Linked DNA regions of Neodiprion lecontei. The protein of the gene in region 3 purifies or fractionates together with the protein of the main gene of each other region. This does not show direct contact. Links are inferred from orthologs where the notes say so. Each region holds a gene or a part of one and is shown on either strand. Other genes may lie near its edges. The genes, in order: cell division cycle protein 27 homolog, anaphase-promoting complex subunit 1, anaphase-promoting complex subunit 2 and anaphase-promoting complex subunit 13.

What was found.
Region 1: the proteins of anaphase-promoting complex subunit 2 (region 3) and cell division cycle protein 27 homolog purify together in Homo sapiens (affinity purification with western blotting; 20 studies listed by BioGRID and IntAct, with this or other methods). This does not show direct contact. The link is inferred for Neodiprion lecontei from reciprocal best matches to the Homo sapiens genes ANAPC2 and CDC27.
Region 2: the proteins of anaphase-promoting complex subunit 2 (region 3) and anaphase-promoting complex subunit 1 fractionate together in Homo sapiens (co-fractionation; 8 studies listed by BioGRID and IntAct, with this or other methods). This does not show direct contact. The link is inferred for Neodiprion lecontei from reciprocal best matches to the Homo sapiens genes ANAPC2 and ANAPC1.
Region 4: the proteins of anaphase-promoting complex subunit 2 (region 3) and anaphase-promoting complex subunit 13 purify together in Homo sapiens (affinity purification with mass spectrometry; 3 studies listed by BioGRID and IntAct, counting the BioPlex papers as one, with this or other methods). This does not show direct contact. The link is inferred for Neodiprion lecontei from reciprocal best matches to the Homo sapiens genes ANAPC2 and ANAPC13.

Annotation. Positions count from the first base shown.
Region 1 is NC_060266.1:21,419,533-21,426,365, reverse strand, and holds cell division cycle protein 27 homolog, read right to left. Parts: upstream 5,204-6,833; 5' UTR 5,090-5,203; coding exon of another isoform or gene 5,068-5,089; coding exon 5,044-5,067; intron 4,732-5,043; coding exon 4,656-4,731; intron 4,378-4,655; coding exon 4,230-4,377; intron 4,034-4,229; coding exon 3,656-4,033; intron 3,568-3,655; coding exon 3,258-3,567; intron 3,167-3,257; coding exon 2,978-3,166; intron 2,858-2,977; coding exon 2,614-2,857; intron 2,510-2,613; coding exon 2,329-2,509; intron 2,194-2,328; coding exon 1,968-2,193; intron 1,809-1,967; coding exon 1,681-1,808; intron 1,504-1,680; coding exon 1,182-1,503; intron 1,080-1,181; coding exon 935-1,079; intron 848-934; coding exon 729-847; 3' UTR 549-728; downstream 1-548. Other genes in the region: type 1 phosphatidylinositol 4,5-bisphosphate 4-phosphatase, read left to right, coding at 5,662-5,746, 5,891-6,075, 6,567-6,776. UniProt on the Homo sapiens protein: Component of the anaphase promoting complex/cyclosome (APC/C), a cell cycle-regulated E3 ubiquitin ligase that controls progression through mitosis and the G1 phase of the cell cycle.
Region 2 is NC_060265.1:30,811,835-30,816,457, forward strand, and holds the start of anaphase-promoting complex subunit 1, read right to left. Parts: upstream 3,037-4,623; coding exon 3,013-3,036; intron 2,698-3,012; coding exon 2,554-2,697; intron 2,463-2,553; coding exon 2,151-2,462; intron 2,070-2,150; coding exon 1,999-2,069; intron 1,936-1,998; coding exon 1,823-1,935; intron 1,520-1,822; coding exon 1,250-1,519; intron 1,159-1,249; coding exon 744-1,158; intron 474-743; coding exon 284-473; intron 180-283; coding exon 1-179. Other genes in the region: protein PBDC1, read left to right, coding at 3,452-3,472, 3,708-3,773, 3,883-3,942, 4,019-4,372. UniProt on the Homo sapiens protein: Component of the anaphase promoting complex/cyclosome (APC/C), a cell cycle-regulated E3 ubiquitin ligase that controls progression through mitosis and the G1 phase of the cell cycle.
Region 3 is NC_060261.1:6,129,825-6,136,037, forward strand, and holds anaphase-promoting complex subunit 2, read right to left. Parts: upstream 4,198-6,213; 5' UTR 4,177-4,197; coding exon 4,075-4,176; intron 3,760-4,074; coding exon 3,321-3,759; intron 3,100-3,320; exon of another isoform or gene 3,057-3,099; intron 2,927-3,056; coding exon 2,688-2,926; intron 2,594-2,687; coding exon 2,413-2,593; intron 2,326-2,412; coding exon 2,100-2,325; intron 2,010-2,099; coding exon 1,825-2,009; intron 1,740-1,824; coding exon 1,194-1,739; intron 1,118-1,193; coding exon 678-1,117; 3' UTR 511-677; downstream 1-510. Other genes in the region: uncharacterized protein LOC107222515, read left to right, coding at 4,355-4,370, 5,320-5,549, 5,630-5,768. UniProt on the Homo sapiens protein: Together with the RING-H2 protein ANAPC11, constitutes the catalytic component of the anaphase promoting complex/cyclosome (APC/C), a cell cycle-regulated E3 ubiquitin ligase that controls progression through mitosis and the G1 phase of the cell cycle.
Region 4 is NC_060266.1:5,014,146-5,017,416, reverse strand, and holds anaphase-promoting complex subunit 13, read right to left. Parts: upstream 1,331-3,271; 5' UTR 1,233-1,330; exon of another isoform or gene 992-1,232; intron 913-991; exon of another isoform or gene 895-912; 5' UTR 851-894; coding exon 614-850; 3' UTR 528-613; downstream 1-527. Other genes in the region: AN1-type zinc finger protein 1, read right to left, coding at 77-502. UniProt on the Homo sapiens protein: Component of the anaphase promoting complex/cyclosome (APC/C), a cell cycle-regulated E3 ubiquitin ligase that controls progression through mitosis and the G1 phase of the cell cycle.

The DNA.
Region 1 (6,833 bases), on a different chromosome or scaffold from region 3:
AATAATAATTGATAAATTCATACGACGTCTTACACTGGAATCACACAATATACTTATAATCTATTCGACAATAATGTACATAGATACATGATAGAAGCCTAATCATATTTTCAATTGCGGAGAGAAGCGAATTAATGAGAAAAAATAATCATCAGGCAGAAATACACCTAGGGCACTTCGGCCGTGGTTTACTGCGGAAATCATGATTATATTTGTTGTATATTTTTGCTTGATCATAGAAACTGAGAATATAAAAGTGAAAGCATCTCATGTACAATAGTTGAAATGTTATTTTTTGAATTTCAGCAAAAGTAGTTGTTATGTACAATTTTCTTGAAGAATAATACGGACTTTATCAGCCGCGGTATTACAAATGTGACGAATAGCATTGTTGGATAGTAGTAAATAGAAAATCCATGTGCTAAAAATTGTGTAAGAATTACTGTACGGAATCTTCTTGTATCTTCAACAATCTTAGTTATCGCGCGCGATGCGTAGAAAAATGAGAATGGTAAATATTGTCAAGGAAAAATAATAAGTCACGTAAGTTATAAACTAATATTTCATTCCATTATTTCAGATTAAGTTTTTCCTCGTTTTCTATAGCTGTCTATTCCAAATGGGCACTTGCGCACTAGCTATTACATTATTAGGTGAGGGCTGTTTATAACAAAGTATACAGGTATTTTGGCCAGCAGTAACGGTAGCGGTACGCCAGATCAAGACACTCATAAGCTGTTATCACTATCGTCGATCTGAGGGTCAATCGTAACATTTGCTGATTGATCAACTTCCCCGCTTGCCTCTCCCTCTTGTTCCGTCGAACTGTTTTGTGCCTGTCTTTCAGCTGAAAATAGATGAACCCGGAATTTTATATGACATCCAGCAAGTGCAGCCTTCAACCAATTTTGGGAATTATTCTGATTCATCTCACCTAATTGTGTAGTAGGGTCATCGTCACCTTGGCCAGGACTCAGTATGGCCTCTTTTATTTGACTGTTGACACCTTTGGGATCTAAATCTGTGGCCCAACTAAAGTACATAAGCGCGAGGTGCGTATTTCCTAACTGTTTATGCACCTGTTGCAAGGAAATAAGATTTTTCGAATGTAAAAAAAAGCAAGTGAAAATCAGCCCAATATTTTTAGAAATTAAAAATGAGTACTAGTGAATATATTTTACCTTTCCTATCGAATAGTAGACTAGAGATTCTTTGGGTACAATATTCTTCAGTTCTTCAAACTCTTTTAATGCTTCAGCAGGTCGACCTGTAGAGAAATTAATGCTTGCTCGATGAAATTTGCAAAGCGTGTTGTCAGGGTCGTTTTGGATCGCCTGATTCAATGTTTTCAATGCAAGATCAGTCTTTTTCAAAGCATGTTGTACAACCCCTATGTGACACATGATTGCCGAATTTTGTGGATTAATCTGCAACGCCCGTTTAAAATGTAGTTCGGCTAAACTGTACTGCTCCTGTTTAGAGAATATCGTTCCAAGTCCAAACCTGATGATAAAAATTTCAAATCCAATTAACTGTGTATTCAATAATAAGTTGTTCTACAAAACAACCAACGTTTATAATTCCATTGTGAGAATATAAATATAGAGGTGAGAAAAATTCCAGTGGGAGAAATTTCAACAAAAACGGTATCGTATCGCTAAGGATTAACGAGGAACTTACCACGCGTTATAATGCCTCGGGTCAAGTCGAATAGCATTTCTAAATGCTGTGATTGCTTTGTCTAATTCTTCTGTCATAACATATTCGTGACCCAGAAGTGTGTACGCGTATGGGAAGTTGGGATCTACCTATAATCGAAAATAAAATATGTGTTAAGCTATTGTCTAAACTATTCTATGTAAAGAGTGCTAAAAATAAAAAAAAAAACGGAATCGAATAGCAAAGGACCGTTCTTTTTTCTGCTTCTCCTCGGAGACAGCGAAAGACTGGAAGATTGGACGCAATACCTGTATGGCTCTTTGAAAGAACTTAATCGCTGTTTCATGTTCTGTTTGGGCCGAAAATAGGTTTCCAGTAGCACACCAAGCTGTTGGAGAATATCGGTCTTCCGAGACGAGCTCCTGTGCCAGGGTGGACAACTGAACTTCGGCATGAAGATGCCATAGTACAGTACTATAAATTTCCATCATCTCTGTTCTCTGCGGCTCCAGTTGTCTAACTTGTGCGAAATAACTACAGCAGAAAAGCATCAAAAGTTACATTAGCTATTTTTTACATTTGATGAGGAAGCAAATTCGGTTCTGTTTATTGAATGACAGTTTTTTTTTTTTCGAAATTTTGTTCAACGTAACAAGAAATTTGCTGTACCTCGCAGCTTTTTTGTAATCTATCATCTCGAAGTGCGCTTTTGCAAGCATCGAGAGGACCCAGCCTGTATTATAATGCTGCGCAGGTAAAACACTGAATAGTTCAATAGCTTGTGAACAATTGAATTGACTCAAATGTTGATACGCTGTGCCCAGGACCCTCAACAGTGTCATAAGTCCCTCTAAAAAATAAACGTTTGAACTGATTGATGACGTGAAATTTAATTACGAGAAACAATATTTTATAAGAAAGTTTGCCAAACATGTAATTGGGTACTTGACTCACCGGCGCACTGTTTTTGAACGAGTAAAGCGCAGTGCATCATGTTATTTTGGTTTAGTGTGTTAGTGGACGATATCACTCTGTCCGAAGTGATCGTTTCACTTTTTTCCTTTTCATTTCTATTTCTCTCATTCAGTTCGTTGAAGTTTGCCTTATTTAAATTAGTCTTTGATAGTCTTGCTTTGGGTTTCCGAGAGGGTGATTTTGGTGGGGCGAATTTATTCCTATTTGGCGATTTATTATTCTCCTATAAAAAATTTGAAAAAAAGAATTAATCAAAGTACAAATTGAGGATCACAGATTTTCAGAGAATTATTTGAGATTCTAAAACCGAATCTAATGCGTTCAATCAATTCATCAGAAATACCTTGACAGAATAACTGTTACTAAAAAGTCTGGAAGATCGCCTAACGTTGGGTCCCTGAAGAGCTTGTGGAGTCGGGACTGGAGCCGTTGGTGTGACCGTAACAATGTTTGCTGTATTACTCGTGTTTCCAGATTGAGAAAACACTGGTTTACCTTGCTGCAAAGGCGTTTCTTTCCGAGACATTAGTTGCTGCAGAATTTAATAAATAATTACCTTTAGATCGATACATGAGGAAAAAAAACAAAAAAACTGAACCACTTATTTGCCAAACTTCACTCACTCCGACATGCGCTTTTAAACTGCTGACTCGCTTGGCCAAACTTTTCTGATCGTTTGCTTCGGAGAGCGTTGCATGAGGCGGTCCAATTTGTTCCGGTGTATTAGTTTCCAATGGGAGAATTCCAAAGCTCGGTGTCAAAGGGCTCATGGAGTTACTAAACATGCTACGATAGCGAGGCATTTTTCCCCTAGGCGATGCCGCAGAACAATTTAGTATTTGGGATGGAAAACCTGCTGGACTTTCATCAGACGTAGCGAACAACTTTACACCAGAATTAATACCATTCCCGACATTATTCTGGGCAGGAGTGCTGCCAAAGAGTAAGAAACTTTACGTTAGTCAGAATCTCAGGTGCAGATGTGTAAAAAATCATTACATCACACGAAAGTTCAACTCACATGTTATTAGGAATTGGTGTGACTGGGTTATTTGCAACCGGAGTAATGAGATCTGGTTCATTGGCATAATTAAGTATCGGGGTAGTACCGTGGCAAGTGGCAAAACTGTCTAGTTTGTCAAGTTGGAAAGTCTTGGCAGGATCAACCTTTTCCCCAACGTTACAGAGTTCCTCAAAAGAGTGCCACAAGAATGGGTTCAACTTTAATGCTAATTTATGCGCCTCACTTCCCTTCGCTGTTCGCATCATTCTATAATAAATCTTGGCTATTATCTGTAACGAGAAGCAAGCCTGGTCTCCAAACTGTGTCACTATCTCATCTAAATTCTTCAACTGCTTATAGTATCCACCGATTATCGCTGCTTCGGCCTCCGCATATCTACATGATAGAAAAAACAAAGATTGATCTTATACATTCTCCAAGTACAGAATCATGCAATTTCCAGCTGTGGATCTAAAGGTTTGAAGATCAAGGTCCCATGATTTCACGGTACAAAGTTTCTGGACAATTCAATACACAACAGTGGATAATAATTTGCTACAAACTAAGTAAAACGGGGTTTAAGATTACTAACTTCTCCAGGTCATAGCAGCACTTTGCTAAGAGAAATCTGCACTGTGAAGAACTCGGCGCCTTTTTGGTGAGCAGAGCGTGAGCCTGTCTAACACGTCCTGAACGGTAATAACACGTTGCCAATAAAAATAATGCATCTTCTGTGTCGACTAGAATGGAAGGCTAGCGTCAGTATTTTATAAAGTAGTAACTACTTAGGGAAGCAATTCATTTCATTGAAACTGTATTGACTGAAAATTTTGAATATATAGATATAATAGTTTCTGAACCACTGTATACATTAAATAGATAAAATAGATTTCTTTTTGTATGAGGTAAAAATTAATTAGCACAAGGCTTTATGACTTTGGCAAAGACTATTTAGGTGACATTGAAAAGTTAACGATTTCAAACGGTGAATATATTTGGATGGTTATGTATTACTTACGTTCGGCCCACAGTCTTTCCGCCAAGAATATTGCATCTCGATAAGCATAGTGATTTAAACAGTGCCATATGGCAGCCTAAAAAGCGTTATAAATCGTGTAAACAATTGATATTCTCGTATGTTTTGTTGATTGATAAACGGAAGGAGTAAGACATGCAGATCTCAAGGCAAACTAACTAATTTCTATAAGATTATTACTTTGACGAGAACAAAGTGTCGCTGCGTTATCCTGCAGTCACGATATCTGCAAACGTTGACGCTTCATTTTGAAAAAATAAATCTAAGAAGTAATAAAGTCGTGCGTGCCACTGGGATGTCAAAATTACAACCAAAGAAATAATCGTTGAAACACGTTGGACACCGTATATTAATTAAATGATAATTTTACCTGCACTGGTTCCTGTACAATCATCGTTTACACCTTTACCACGCATATAAATATGAATTTCAATTGATTCGTTTCAATTTGAAATCTGAAAATTGTGCACTTCCTCGGCAAATTCGTATAAAAATTTCTCAAGACTCCATATTTGCTTTTGCCAGCTTTCTTGGACTCATCTGAAGTTGCCTCTATATCGCAGTGCCTGTCACCCGATCCAATGCTTCAAACAGTCCAAAAGTCACTAGTAGCCGATAAAAATCTCTATATCTCTAAGAAGGAAGATACCGCGCCTATACCGGGTAATTTTGAATACCTCGAAATACGCTATAATTTCGTGCAAAAACCATGAATCTTTTTAAACATCATTCACACTTGGATTGATTTCTGTTCAATATCAACGAAATGGCCGAACGATAAAGCCGTACTTGAACCTAAATTAGCCGGTCAAAAATACAGCGATGTGAAGATAGATGCCAGCTGATTAATGAGCAAGCCGGTTGCCACTCTACGTGTCGTATCAAGTCCCAGTTGTCAATAGGGGAAGAGGTAATATTTGTCATCGGAGTTCTGTCAGTGGATCGAGCTTGGTGATTCTCGAAGAATAGATAATAAAAACTTTCCATAATGGGCGATGGAAAACAGGGCGAACGCCAGCCCTTGTTAAAAAATGACAATATATCCTACACCAGTGTTTCGACGGATATAACAGGTTCGTATTAATGCGTTACACATAGCAGTCGCATTATTTAGTCAAGTTGAACCTCTCAACTCAGAAGAACAAAGTCTGTAATATCGAACTATAAATTACTAGTTTTCTACCTTCACTCTTCTTTTCAATCTCTGTATCTGATAGCTGCCGCTGAATCCACAGTCAATACAGTATGTCCGATCGGTCCAGACGAGTTACCGCCACCCTACCAGTCCACTCAGCAGGGTGGAATCCCTATGGTCACATGCAGAGTTTGCCAAGCTATGATAGACATATCCGGCAAGCGGGATCAACATGTTGTTAAATGCTGCCAGTGTAACGAAGCTACAGTCAGTTTTACCACATTTTATTACTATTTCCACTATTTTTTTTTATCAACATCGGTTTACTAATATTATTTAGCACCTTTCGACGAACGTAAAAGACTTCGTTTCCATATTAAATTAATAATGCCTCACCACATAGAATGTTGCATATCGAGAAAAACTATTTCATATTGTGAGATTAAGGACTTCAAATCCTTACAGAGTAAACAGTCACTTATGTCCATAGAAATATCAAATGGTATTAAAAAATATTTTGTATATTCTTACAGTCATTTCAAATTCTAAACGATAAGACATCAGTCTTTTTTGCAAGCTTGCAAAATCTAATTCTAACAAGGAACGATTCAATTCAACTCGGCGAATGTACAATTATTTTCAACAATTTGTTTGAACTTATTTCAAGTATCTAAAATCTTGAGTATTACCAGTATTCGATCCTTTACTTTAGGATACGATACTAATATGATAGTCACGATTGATGACGTTCCTTTCAGCCGATAAGAAATGCTCCACCAGGAAAGAAGTACGTCCGTTGTCCTTGCAACTGCTTACTTATATGCAAGAGTTCTTCACAGCGAATTGCTTGTCCAAGACCAAATTGCAAGCGCATAATAAATTTAGCGCCTTCGCCAGTAACTCCGCCCGTTCTCTCTATGCCTGGAATGTGTAGAGTTGGATGCGGACATTGCCATGACACGTTTCTGGTAGGTCACTGGATGCATCATAAGACACAAATGCATCCAGTGTAACTCGTTGAAACT
Region 2 (4,623 bases), on a different chromosome or scaffold from region 3:
AATGAACTTCTGCGTGGAAATGGAGAGCTACCAAGTTTTTGGGCAAAATTTGGAAGATAGTAGTTCGAACTTGACAGAGGAGACAAAACTCCAGCAATATGAACCTTGCCTACGCAGGTCACTCCGGAATAAAGTGCGACTCCGTTGGACAAATCTACCGTCACAATCATGTGAAGTTTCTGAAAAATCATAGGTACAAAACAAATTATACCAAATATAAATTTGTGCTGACATGGAGAAAAATATGGAATTGTTTTGAATTAATCATATTCATTAATCTCACCGGCAAACTGACAGCATCTTTTGCAACTATACTGGTAACCATTCCGAAAATAATTTGTTGCTGTTTGTTTGACTTCTCAAGTCGTACCAAAAACAGTTGAGATCTATTCGGTACTAAATATCCCAAATAACTTTGACCGACAAGATCCGATGTCAATAAAACCTTCGATGCAGGTCCAGATATGACATCCCTTAAATTAAAGCGGAGTAAGATATGCTTGTTACTTCTCTTAACATCATAATCACTGAGATCATTATTTTTTTTCAGGGTGGATACATTTGCTTCTAAATTCCAAACTATGGCCAAAACAAAGTTAATACAGAAACTCACTTCTGATTGAAGGTCCAAAGGAACTGCAAGCACAGGTAAGACCTAGATGGGATATCGGGAAAAATAGGAGGATTGGTAGGAGAGCAGGGGGTTCGACACTTGATACAAGATCTTGAACACTAATACTCACTTTGAAACTCCAACATTTTCTGTCCATACGTGATCCAGGCAAAGTTCAGGATACAGAGGCCTACTAGGACTGGCCATGGGATCTTGAAGATGCAAGCTACTGCAAGGACTACTCGGACTATTCGGCGACTGCCCCAAAATCGTTGCCATCACTGTGTGATGTAATCTAGTTTGATGAGCTATAGAGCTGCTAGGGCCTCCCAATAACGGAGAGAAAGTCGTGGGAGATTCAGATCTTGAAATAGCAGCCATCGGACTCTGAGATCTTGAATGTTGCTGCTGCGAAGGCGATGCCCCGCTGACAGAGCCTGTCGTATATGACGCCGCACGAGATGCAAAAGGGCTTGTGGCTGCTACTCCGCCACCCGCCAAACTAATACCCATACCAATACCACTTGATTGCAAGTTAGGAATACCTGTTTGGGAGTGGTAGAAAAGGCACAAAACAAGACATTTTTAAGGATGATATTGACATTTTCAATATTTCATATAAACCAATGAACTCACCAAAAATACTGACGTGAGCTTTGCTAGTAGAGCTTCTGTTGGTAGAAAGATTGCTACCGATATTAAGAGGTGAGCCAGTTGCAGAGTGATTTAAAATAATACTAGGTGTAGTGTCATTGCCACAAACGACATGACACTCGTCAGACGAAGCCTTACGGATTTTATAAACTGAATGTAGGCCAGTACGGGTATCATAGACAACAGCTAGCGATGGTTCAGAACTTGTAAACACTATTTTCTGATGCGAATCGCACATATACGAGAGACTACCTGCAAAAATTAAAATTTAATTTATAATATTAACAGTAAGTGTATACTGAAACTAGTTACGAAGTTGAAATTAGTAACGTTGACGTAACGAAACATTGGGAAAAATTACTACGCTGCAATTTCAAAATGACTCTAAAGTAATTGTATTTTCGAAAAATAAGAATGGTTTGCTTTATTACGGTTTATTGTATTTGGAGACAATTCTAAAATTGAGGAATATTACGATATTTCCCAGACTGCGTAGTTCGAATAACATTACTAACTTCGGATTAACTATCAGTTCCATATTTATTTAATATTCACCGTGCTTCAGCAGCAGAGGACAAATTTCGTCCAACGGATGCTTGAGAGAAAATGCTGTGGGTAATTGGTTTTCATTTTGCGCCGCCAGTTTGCTCGCTTCCAAAGAGGCATACCTAAGTAAATGTAACAGCATGTACTGTTGTTGACTTAATTTGCATAGCTACGAGTATAATTACCTCGACACTGTGGTAGGAGCTGGGAACTTTTCCAACAAAATTCCAAACTTCGTAGCCCAAACTGATGATACCTAAATCAATTGATGAAATCGAAATATTTTACATTTTCACATGATAAATTTTTCCAAACAGATCGAAGATTGTCTACCCACTTGAAATTGTAAGCTTGATACATAGTCTTCTCCAGTTTCAGTGAAAACCTTCAGGTTATATGAATCCAGGAGACAAATACACTCAATGGGGCTCCCGCTAGGCTCATTAAAGTCAGGTTGATTAGGAACATTTTCTGGTGTAGTCGAGTGAAACACACACCAAAGAGCATGCTTTATGTCACTGTCACACGAGTATGAAGTTTGAAGCGACCTCGTAGACCCGCTGCCTTTAGAGTGAACGGCAATTTTTCCTGAGCAGTACAATTCCTCTTCGCCGTAAGTTTTGTTTTGTCTAACAGACCAGAATTCTTGCTGTAATTGAATGTTTCGTTAATTGTTTCAAATAAGAGAGTATAATTTTAACTTTATTTCCCAATTCCTTCAAAAATACTCAACGGCTTACAGGCGTTTTTTCTGATATATTCACTTGACTGAGCCTCTGTAAAATGAAACTCTCTCCTGGCGCAGTTTGATTGCTGGCCAATTGCTGGGCAACGACAGAACCTGGATGCCGCAAGATCGTCTGTCGTCCTCCTGGGACATATTCCTTGAAACATGATAAGGAATTTATTTATTTGAAATTAGTTAGCAAGTACAATAAAGTATTCAGTTTAAAACGCCGTGAACGAAATCGTACGATACGGAATTTGCTACGAACATGGCAGAAAACGAAATCGTGAAATATTTGTAAAAACACAAATAATTTTTTGCATAATTTTCAAGTTGGATCGACTAAGATACAGAATGGACCTGAAACGTATTATAGCTCACATCACGTTCAAAGTTTTTGCAATATACGACCGGCAAAGATAACCCAACCTAACATAACATAACCTAAAAGAAACAAACTGAGTAAACTTACCAGCGGATCGGAAGCGGCGATCATTTTCTCCCCGATTTCATCCAGATTTGCTAAGTTTGTTTATTATTTTATCGTAAACACTAGTAGCTGTCACAAAATTTATTTTTAGCACGTTATCAGTGTACGTGTTAGGGGGAAGAATAATAATAATCGGTTTACTCTAACGATGGTTTACTATAAGAAAGGTTTTTGAACTGTCAGTTTATGTAAAGTGTCAGGTCTCGAACTCGTGCATCGCGTGATATTTTCTTTCTTAGAAAATTACAGTCACAAAATTGATGAATAAAACTCAATCAATCTTGTTTGTATGATTGTAGAAAAATTTGGAAAGAGATTTCAGTTGAATTAAACAAATTTTATCCGTTCGAAGCAACGCTCCCAAACTTGACTCTCGACGTATATACGATATAATTATAATAACAATAACATTCGCGCAAACATGGCACATGTGGGTGATGTGGTAAGTAAAATAATGACGCTCAGATACGTTCTATAGAATTTTATCGTCAGATCACAACCAAAATGTAGTCTGATTTTAATTTCCCTGAAAAAAATATCATTCTGCAAGCCTTTGCAACGATTTACAATACCTGAAAACCTATTGTACAAAGCATAACCTATATTTGATATTCTCACTGTTTTACGTACCCATTTCAAAGAAACACTAATCATCAATAATTTACCCTACGATACAGACAGCTGATCAATTGATAGCAGGAAGCAGCGTTCTGTCCAGGCCTGCCGAGGAGTTTGACAATGACGTAAGCCAAAAATAATTCATTCAAACTCAATTACCAGACTCCTAAAGTGTCCTATGTTTCTCAGATTTTCTAAACTGACCAATTTTAATCCGTCCAAAAATTATTCCAGCCATCAGTGGAGGCAATGTGGGCAATCAAGGCGTATGAGCACGCAGAGATATACTTTAACGTTGGTAACAGAATTTTTTCATCCGAAATATCTATGCACATTTTTCTCCAGCTTATAAACACTGTTTCATTTCCAGATATTATGTTCGGTGGATCCTAAGCTCCTAAGACTGACACCGCACGATGATTTGATCTACAAATCATTCAGAGAATCGTTTCCAGACTTTAAAGTAGACAAGATTAACGAGGATGAGCTTAAGTCGCCCGAAGGAAAAGCAAAGTGGAGGCCGTTTTGCGAACAATTCAAGGAGGTTGTAGAAGACTACAGTTTCGGCACCCTGGTAAGGGCGGATTGTGATGGAGAATATTCTGAACAAAACAGCATACTAACATCCAGAATCCAATTCTATGCTATTGAGTTGGCAAGAAACAGGGAAGGTCTGAATGACAATATCAGAGGGAAGTACAAGCCCAGAACGGCCCCTAAGTAGTAATATTCCAATACTTTCACTTCACAAAACCGAGGTCGGCTGATTTATTTTTGCAACTATGCATTTAGCAAATCTCATTATTTACTTAATACTTGCAAAGCTACTAATTTTATGGTCCGCTAATATGTAATAAATCTTAAGAAAATATTTACAGTAAAAAAAAAAGCAGCATCGCCTAATTTTCTCCGATCAATTCCGTTTTTGTATTTCAAAATATAATAACCATATAGTATCGTTATAGTCTTATATTC
Region 3 (6,213 bases):
TGCTGAATTTGCCTCCTGTTAATTGTAATACGTTTTACGCCTTTTGATATGCGGGAATACTGCAAATATCTAATCAATGCTCAATAAATGATCTCACATCAAGACACCCACCCACTCACACTGACTGACGCTGATATCATGGTATCTGGATTTTTCTGATAAAACTCAGTTATTGTGTTTCAATACGATATTTATCTCTTAGAGGTTTCATACTTTACCTACTGAATTTCATACTACGATTTCATACTACGATTACGAACATCTCTTTATGTGTAGAGTTGCAGCTTGATAAATCAGAAAGTTTGCAGTAAAAAATCAATATTAATGTAATACGACAGCTCATTTAAACTTTGATAACAGTTTACTCCTTACTTTCAACAATAAATTTCCAAAAAATAAGATGATTGTAAAATAGTTATCAAGAATTATTTTTACAATTATTCAATAAGCTTGAATTTTAAGCTGTACGAAAATAAGTAGGAAAAAACTTTGTCAAAAAATTACAATTTACTATTTGTAAGGTATATTTTCTATACAAAAACTAAACCAATAATTATTACACTTTGATGATGATAAAAAAATTGTCATAGTCGAATCAATATGATTTCTTTGGCTTACAAAAGGCCTACAATTATTTTATATTTTTAATTATTTTTCGGTCATCGTAAAGACAATCATTACGATTTAGGCAATTTATATAATCCACCAGAAAATAACAGCTGATGTTCTCTAACTTTTTTGTCCAAGAAATGTCTCAATTCTGGTAAACCACATTCCACAGCACCTGGCCCTTGTGAGGCAAACATTTTCAACATTTGGTGTATTCGCTCCAAGGGCATAGAATCCAAATTCGTCAGCATTCCAACGATGTATGACCAAAATACTTGTAATTCCTCCTCCCTCTGATCACTAGCCGAAGCCATTGCACTTTCTACTTCCTCTTCTTCAACAATTTCAGCTGTCGACCGATTTTTAGTTGCACTTTCTTCTTGTAGTAAAAACTTATCGCTTGAGATCTCTTTCAAAACTCCTTGGGATACCCAGAACGTTATTTTACGACGGAGTACAGTTGCTGGGACGTGCATTGCTTCACTCAGTTCGTCGATCGTCCATTCATCTTGAGATACAAATATTAACATGGTTAATAAGTAATAAGATCTTCACCGTATTTACAAACGTGCTTTAGTACTCACTTTTATTTTGAAAGTGTATAATGATTGTAGCGTGGATAGGTGTGACATTCATGTTCAATTTCCTGTCTTTCAATTCTATTTCCAGGTTTACATTTCCTAAATGAGGCTTCCAGCATAGCGTTCTGTTCCCTTTAAGAGCTTCAAATGCTTTCATGTACTTAGCTAGCTGATCCTGAACAGCTTTTGGCAATTCTAATTTCCACTCTTCCTTGAAAGGCGGCCAAAATTGAGCCGATAGAATGAGCGCAGAGGTAGGGAAAAGGTGTGCTTCGACACAGTAACTGGAATCCGACTGTATATTCCCATCTATCCTTTTTGAGTCGTAAACGTCTTTGAGCATCACTTCACAATAGTGTAATTGATTTTCTCCAAAACGTCTTTTGAGCAATTCCAAATGACGAATTTCTCTTTCAGTATGATAATTTAGCTGTGAAAGTAGTCTATCTGCTAATAAAGTTCTATATTCATTAACGAACAGGTCTTGGCTTCCGTAAACATTAACCAGCATGGAAATTATATCCGATACTCGGCGTTGGGATGATTTGGCTGAAAATTAGGATCACACAAAGATCGGGTTACAAAAATATAAAACTTATGCAGCTTCTCATATTAAAATGCAAACCTAGCTTACAAGGATCTGCATCGACTGGATCTGGCATCCACTTTTCCCAGTCTTCGTCTTCCTCGTCGACTGAACTTTCTTCCAGCTGCAACGATTCGCCCTTCACCAATTCATCAGCTAAGTCGCTAGGGGAATCATCCAACAAACCACTAACCACGCATCTTACCGTGTCTTCTCTACTCCTCAGGTATTGCCTGGTTGTAAGTAAGAGATAAATTTGTTGTAATATACTGGAGATGTGGGTATTTAATCTGACCTGAGAGGGTAATAGAATATTAACTTACTTTACTGGTTGCGTAACAGTTTCCAAAAGAACGCCGGTTGGATCTAACTGTCTCAAAGCTTTTATGGCTGCTATGTACGCCGTTAAAATATCAGGGGTATTTACACCTGGATGTAGTAGCCTTGTTTTCAGAGCATCTTGTAAACTTTCAACCAACGTCTTGCGTAGATCTGTTCGTTCCAAACCAACTCGTAAGTCTTCTATTGCCGGCTGTGACTCAGGGTATTCTAAAATTTCGAAATATATTTACCTGGCTTGGAAATATCACGGTATTTGTGCAAGTAGATACTTAATCACGGTTATTGTTTCCTTACCTATAATGATGTTGAACAGCTGATCAATTCTCGTTCGCGTATATGTTTCGTAAAGGAAATGGGACAATTTGTATTTGAATTTATTAATTGTCTCGCGCGTTTTACTGCTCAAAGAAGGGGATTTTGAAGAGCCTCCAGAATATATTCTTGTTAGCCAGCTCATAACAACTGTTTCGAGCCACTGTGGAATACAAAGTATTGTTATTCTAGGCAATAGTGTTGTTTCGGTGAGCGAGTCGATGTTTCACAAAAATTTCAGACTCTTGTACACTTACGTTTTCCAAAAACGTTAATTGTGATACATCAAAACTGCTCTCACACGCTTTATTGACATGACTCTCAATGCGGATATTTATCAGCGAAGTCAAGACATTTCCAACTAATCGCTCGAGCAGTTCAAGCTCGATTAACTTCCGATTTGTTTCATGAAATATGTATACTATTGCTTGGCACTGACAGTCATCTATTTCCCGATTGCAACCTTTGCAGAGGCTGTGACTACCAATTGAATCATCTGCACGAAAAATAATTCTGTCATTAAGTGGATCCAAGGCGATGAGGAACAAGATAGGTTTACTCTTTTCAGTAGAAAAATTGGGGTGGAATAGATTGGAAGCTGATAAATAGCGCTGAAGCAAAGCGTTTTGAAGAATTTGAATATTGATTGAAACTATCGACTGAATCATTGTACGTTTACAAGTTGCAGACTGGTCTTGTAACTCATTAATACTAATTGGTGTGTAATCTGGAACTTAACACTGACTGATGATCGGAATTTGTTAAAATTAGATTTACTACAGCCAGTTGAATTAGAAATTTTCATACTTGTTATACCAAGTGATCGATTAATAGAGCAGAAATAGTGAAAAGAGCAATTACTTCTTTTTCCCTTAATTCAAACAACTCACCTTGCGGTGAGGTGTCAGTATTACAGAACACATTGAATGCAATTCTATAGAAGTGTTCTATGATTATTTCATGATTCAATGCAAGTTGACTCAATAACGTAGCTTTAACAATAAGTTTAAACTGTCCTAAAATATTGTTTTCCCCATAGAACGATCCATCAGACTCCTTGCTTTGTACAAGTTGTTCTAGTCGTTTTAACATCGGTAGAAACTCTATTAAGCTGGAATACAAGCCGTCAACGGCGTTTTTGAAGCATTCAAATCCATGTTGTTCATTTGTTGTACTGCTAAAATTACTCCAGAAGTCTGGAGCTACGTGTTGACGAATATAGTATTCTATACTTTGTATAACTATTTCCTCAATTCTTCCCAACAGTTTCAAATCATTTATTTGCTTGAGTATATCGGTAAACTGTTCGTCAGAACATTCGCTGAGTACCTGTATAATAATGGAATGACAGGTACGATTACTCTCCGATATGAAGATTTCAAACAAATAATGAGAACCTTGACAAAATTTAAAACTATCTTAATTCGATCCAATAATATATTTGTAATCCTCGTAATTAGCCGTAGATAACGATATTAGATGACAACAGTGTAAATGTTTGAGTTTGAAAATTCATAACGCAGATCGTAAACATAACCTTAACAAAATCGAAAACCGTGCCTAAAGATTGACGACTCTTTGATTAGACTAAATAACTAGTGATGATACACCAACGAAAAATAGAGGGATGAGTAATTGAAATACCTTCTGTCTGAGGATCGGAAAAGCATATTCGATTTTTAAGAGTACGTCCTGCTCAGACGCGGCATTTATTGCCGCCATATCCATATCTGCAGCAATGTTCATACAGTTTGGCAGGTGTTTAGTGATCCTAATGTCAATTCGACGTGCATTTTGTAAACAGCTGTTGCCTACTTCACTCGTGTGTGACCAAGTTTTTATTTCAACAACTTCAGTTTGACCTTATATATTATCTTACGGACATTTTCACGTTCATTTGTTGTGTTTTTCCACACATTCCAATATGGAGTGTCTCGTCGGTAAGTTGTTTCGAATCGAAAAGCATATTATTATAATAAATTTTGATAAAACTGCCTGATTCTTCTGAATTCTACCGAGAATCATTAGTTAAGACACAAGGTTAAATTATGCACCTATAAATGCGGGAAGACTCAACGTCAAGCAGTAATACGCGATGCAATAATAATGTTTACGGTTATTTTGTATTGTAGATAGACGTAATAGGTTATGCGATGTATTTTAACTCTGCTAAGCGGGGAATTCCGTACCGTTAAAAAAAAAAAAAAACAAAAAAACAAAAATGCTATTGTTCGAGTATGAGTATCGGAGGTTTTCTGATTCCGCTTGAACACGGATTGAACCGAGGAATAATATAGGTATAACGTCTCTTTACCATTCAACTGTGTAGATATCTGTTTTTTTCATCGTGATACTGATAGCAGTAACAAGTTTTGTTAAAATTTGAATTCATTTTTGTAGTAAATGCCATTTCATTACTTTAAAATCGTTAAATTTTTAGAGGAAAATTTATTCTCTTATTCCGTTCAGGAGTAATCCAAAAACGTATTCAGAAGGCAAGAAGTTTTATCACCTGTCGAATGTTAGCAATAATCTATGTAAGTTGGTTCAATTTGAATTGTGATCTTTTCATGAATTCGAATCCACTTGCAGAAAAATACATGAACTACAGAATAGTGATAAAAGTGTGCATCGAATATTTCCATAATTCTGTCTTACGTAAACAATTTGCCTTAGAAGAGAAATCGTTTTGTCAATTTAATTTATGATTAATTTCGTAGAACTGTCTCAGGGATAACTTCAGTCAGTGGAGTATGAATTAGTATATAGCACCACACTCGTAATATGAAATATATTTGCATGCCTACAAAAAAATAATGAATTAAGGATTGTTGAATAAAAGAAATTGTACCTTTTAATTCACATACTCATGGTAACTTGAATCTTCAGGCAATACCTCGGAAATGATGTTTCAAACCGCCGACGAAAGTAGCTACAAGTGTGATGAAAACAGGCAGTTGCACTGCCAGGAACTGATTGAGTTGAATGATCAAATTGCTCAAGATAATGTTGCAAGTCACATGAACGACTATGCAATTTTACCCGCAGTTAATTTGTGTCCGATATGGGGAATCAGCAATTTGGAAGTAGTTGAGACTGGGCAAAGTGGATTTGTAGAGGTAAGAATAGGACTGTTTGAAGAAACTTTGAAGTTACGCCGGAACTGTTAAGTCATGTTATTATCCATTTATATTCACAGGTTGGCAACGTTGCAACTAGTTCTGTTCCAACATCTACTGGTAGGCCGAGAAGAAAGCCGAGGCCGTATTCTCCCTCAGATCTGACTACAGGCAGTAAGAAACAGAGGCAGAAGCCCAAAGTAATTCGAGTACAGCGAAGTAAGTGAAAAATATCAAATGGGACAATGTCAGGAGCAGTTTTATTACAGTGTTCTAAGAAAAAATTTATACCATTCTCATGAATTTCTTGAACCTAATCTAATATTTGACTTTCATAAAAGCAACAAGCAACAAAAAAAATGAGGGGATCGTTGGGAAAAAGGAAACTGTAGAAAAATTGACCAAATCAAATAGAAAACTTTTTTGGGATAATATTCAATTTGAACAACGTATTAACTGTATTTATTGACTTGACTTGCCTTGACATTATAAACGGTCAAATTGAATCCGTTAGTTTCGCACTTTTGATTCTACAGAATTGAGACATTAAATTTTGAAGCAGGAAATAAGCATAAAAGAGCTGTCCAGTCCGTTTTCCCTTATAACTAATCAACTTGCATGTAACAGTATTGAATTAATTCGTTCATAACATTCTGATTTTGTA
Region 4 (3,271 bases), on a different chromosome or scaffold from region 3:
AAATATGAAAGTGACAAGATTCAAAATAGAATCGACACAAATAGATAAGATATCACAGATTCGATGACGAATGTACCTTAACAGCAACCGTAGAATTTTTAGCTTTTCTCAAAGAATTGCTGATTTGCTTATCGACTGTTGCTTTTGCTTCGTCAAATTCCTGCCGTGGTTTATTCCACTTTTCCAGTTCCTTCGATTTCTGTTCTTCGCTAATGTCTAAGCAGCCGTGATGACGGTGCGCGATGCAAAAATGTAAGCAACATTTGACGCAAGGTATTTCCACGGGTGAATGGTTGTTACAAGAAGAATCAGAGCAGTAATAATCGGAAACTGACTCAGGAGATTCAACGATATTATCTTGAAATTTTAAACAAGAATGAGCTGATACGTGAAAGTGTTCCTTGCAGAAAATTAATTTGCAATGCGAACATGAAAAGGCCAAGAAATCCAGTTGCTTACAAGCAGATACCGAACAACGAACTCCTAAGCTAGGGAACTCCATTGTTGGCCAAATATTATCAACGATATCAAAATAAGCAGGCTGATATTATTTCAAAACACAGTATAAAATTCAAACTTGGTACATATTTTTTACATTAGATTTATAGCTAGTTTAGTTATGTGGCGGCGTAGGAGAGTGCAAGTGATTCTCGCTAAGTGTGCTAAGTGCCAAGTTATTCCACTTTTGTTCCAATTCTTTTAGAGTCATGTGCGAATCTCCATTGTCACTTTCTGGGTCAGGAAGCTCGGCGAGTGGAACTGATATTTCGTCAATCGGAAGACGTTCCTTGCGCCAATTATCGTCGATCACTTCCAGCAGTTTACCATCAGCACAGACTTGACTGTCCATACCGTGAATTGACAGTACGATCAATTAACGAGACTGACAATAGTCTGGAAAATATGAAAACTCTGATTTTCCTTGTGAAATGAAATTTATCTTGATTGAAATTTTCCAAGTAGTTGTCGAATATCATTTCCATAGTTATACCAATATTGTGATACTGAATTTCAGTTCATAAAATCTATTAGCGTGATTCAGCAAATTGTGGAAGATAAAATTATGAAATGTCAGTATCAATTTTCAAATCACGTACTGTTCCTGATTCTATGAATTTCAACAACAACAGAAATCTAGTCGTGAAGTGATACAACGCTTCTGAAAAAAGTAATGAGTAATTACATTGCACGGTTACTGTAGACTAACTCATAATCTAAGATATGACCCTAACCTGAAACTCGTAATCGACGGAAATTTATGGAACTACAGTGTTCCAAATGAAACTAACGAATCACGTGGCTCATTGTGTATGTATGAAGTTAAAGTGACAGAACTGACAGCACGCAAACGTTCCTACAGAAACGAGATTTCGTTGTTTTTGTATGAAAATAGAGAAAATACATGAACTTTTCGACATTGGTTAGTGCATTTCTTTAAGTAAATATATAATCAGTAGAAGAAAAACATGGTAATTTTGTTCACGAGGTGAACACATTCAAACTTCCTCACGCTGTACCACGTGACTAAAATAAATCAGTGCCTTATAAGCTATCACCACGTGACTCGTTGGTTTAACTTCAGCTATTGGAGTGCTAGTGTCGGTTTTTTGGGCTGTTGATCGGCCCAGCTGCCCTGCGCTAGAAGCCTAGGAGTCAGCGATCAATAAGAGACCAGTACAAACAATTCATCATTTTGCTGTTGTATTAATCAATTTTGGGATTAAATCTTCAGTCACGCCGTTGTTACGTTGATCAACGCAGGGCGTTTATTGCCACGGTGGAAATTCAATCTTGCCGCTTCACTGCCGAGTATGCTAGTTTCGCGTACCCTGGCGGATTTGTTGCAAAGCTGTTCTTGGAATTATTAAACCACTAGCGTGTCATTACTTTTTTTTTGTAAGGTTGGTTCCCATCGTGCGCGCGCATCGTGCATAGAAATGCATGACGATCAGGGACCTGCGTGTGAGCCGTTATCCTGCTGTTATCTCTGATAAAATATAACCGAAAAGTGATAATTGGTCGAGGAAGAATTGAACCCATGTTCGCCTGAAGGATTTCGGTTTATTGGCTGGCCGTATTCATTTGCCTAAATCACGACGAAGCTTAAAATGCCATTGGTAAGTCTCGAGTGGGTACCACTCCTCTGTCAAAACCTATTGCTCAAAACAATATCTGTATACTTTCCACCGTGTTTATCAACTAGCCTTGCGTCAACTTTGCGTCTTGCTCGGATTTCACCCTTACTTTTTTCTCACTTTTGAGAATGTATTCAGAGTTCGCAATCAGCTGAACTTCCCTCATCTCGAGCGACTGTAGTAATGCGAAATATGCCGGATAACTAAGAAATACATTGTGTCATGCGCCTTGACGTAACCTGTATTTCAAGGGCAGTCATTTCCTACTTGTCACTCTCCTGTTTTGTTTTTCCACGACGTAAGACTCAGAAATTCACCTTGGCACTGTTAATCATTATATTGAATTATATTAATCTGTTTAAGTTCGTTGCCTCTGATTGAACTGTCGCTAATATATTTCTTGCATCAACGTTCAGAGGGGCGTGAATTTTGTTGACATTTCGGACCTAAACTAAACGTTGTATCGTCTGTAAACAGAATTGTGATCTTTGAATTAAACTTTGAACATATCAACACAAACATGCGGTGACATTCGAAAACGATCTATAGTATTTAGTATTTAATCGTGCACGAAGAATATGCTGTTGAAATGTGAATAAATTTTCGAATTTTCCGCGCTCTTGAAACATGTTTTACAAAATGGCGGCCCAGTAAGCACATACCTGAACATCGTTGGTCATGCGCAGTGGGTAAAAAATGAATCGCGACTGCTGAAATAACCTTTAAACGAACCCAAAACAACGTCAACATTGATATATGACCTGAAACAATACACGTCTCCAAAATTATGTCGAATTCGCGGATTTTTCGTCTCTGACAGTTCAGCCGACGTTTTGCAGAACAAGGTTAGAAATCTTTTAAATGCGATCAAAATATGCGGCGAGATTTTGGCCAAATCGTATCACGCTGCCAAAACTTGACTCGCAATCAGCAGTGACTCGCTTTCTTTTCAGCAGACTCTTATTTTTGCCCCCCCAAAAAAAAAAAACCGTACCCGATTTATCTCGATTTACGGATTGAGTTGCGTGTTTTTTTCATTCGTCGGATAATTTTTTCCTCACCGCGCTAGTGATTTTACAATATATATCAATGATTTTACATGCACACGCTGTTGAAAAAAAGCGAATATACATGAA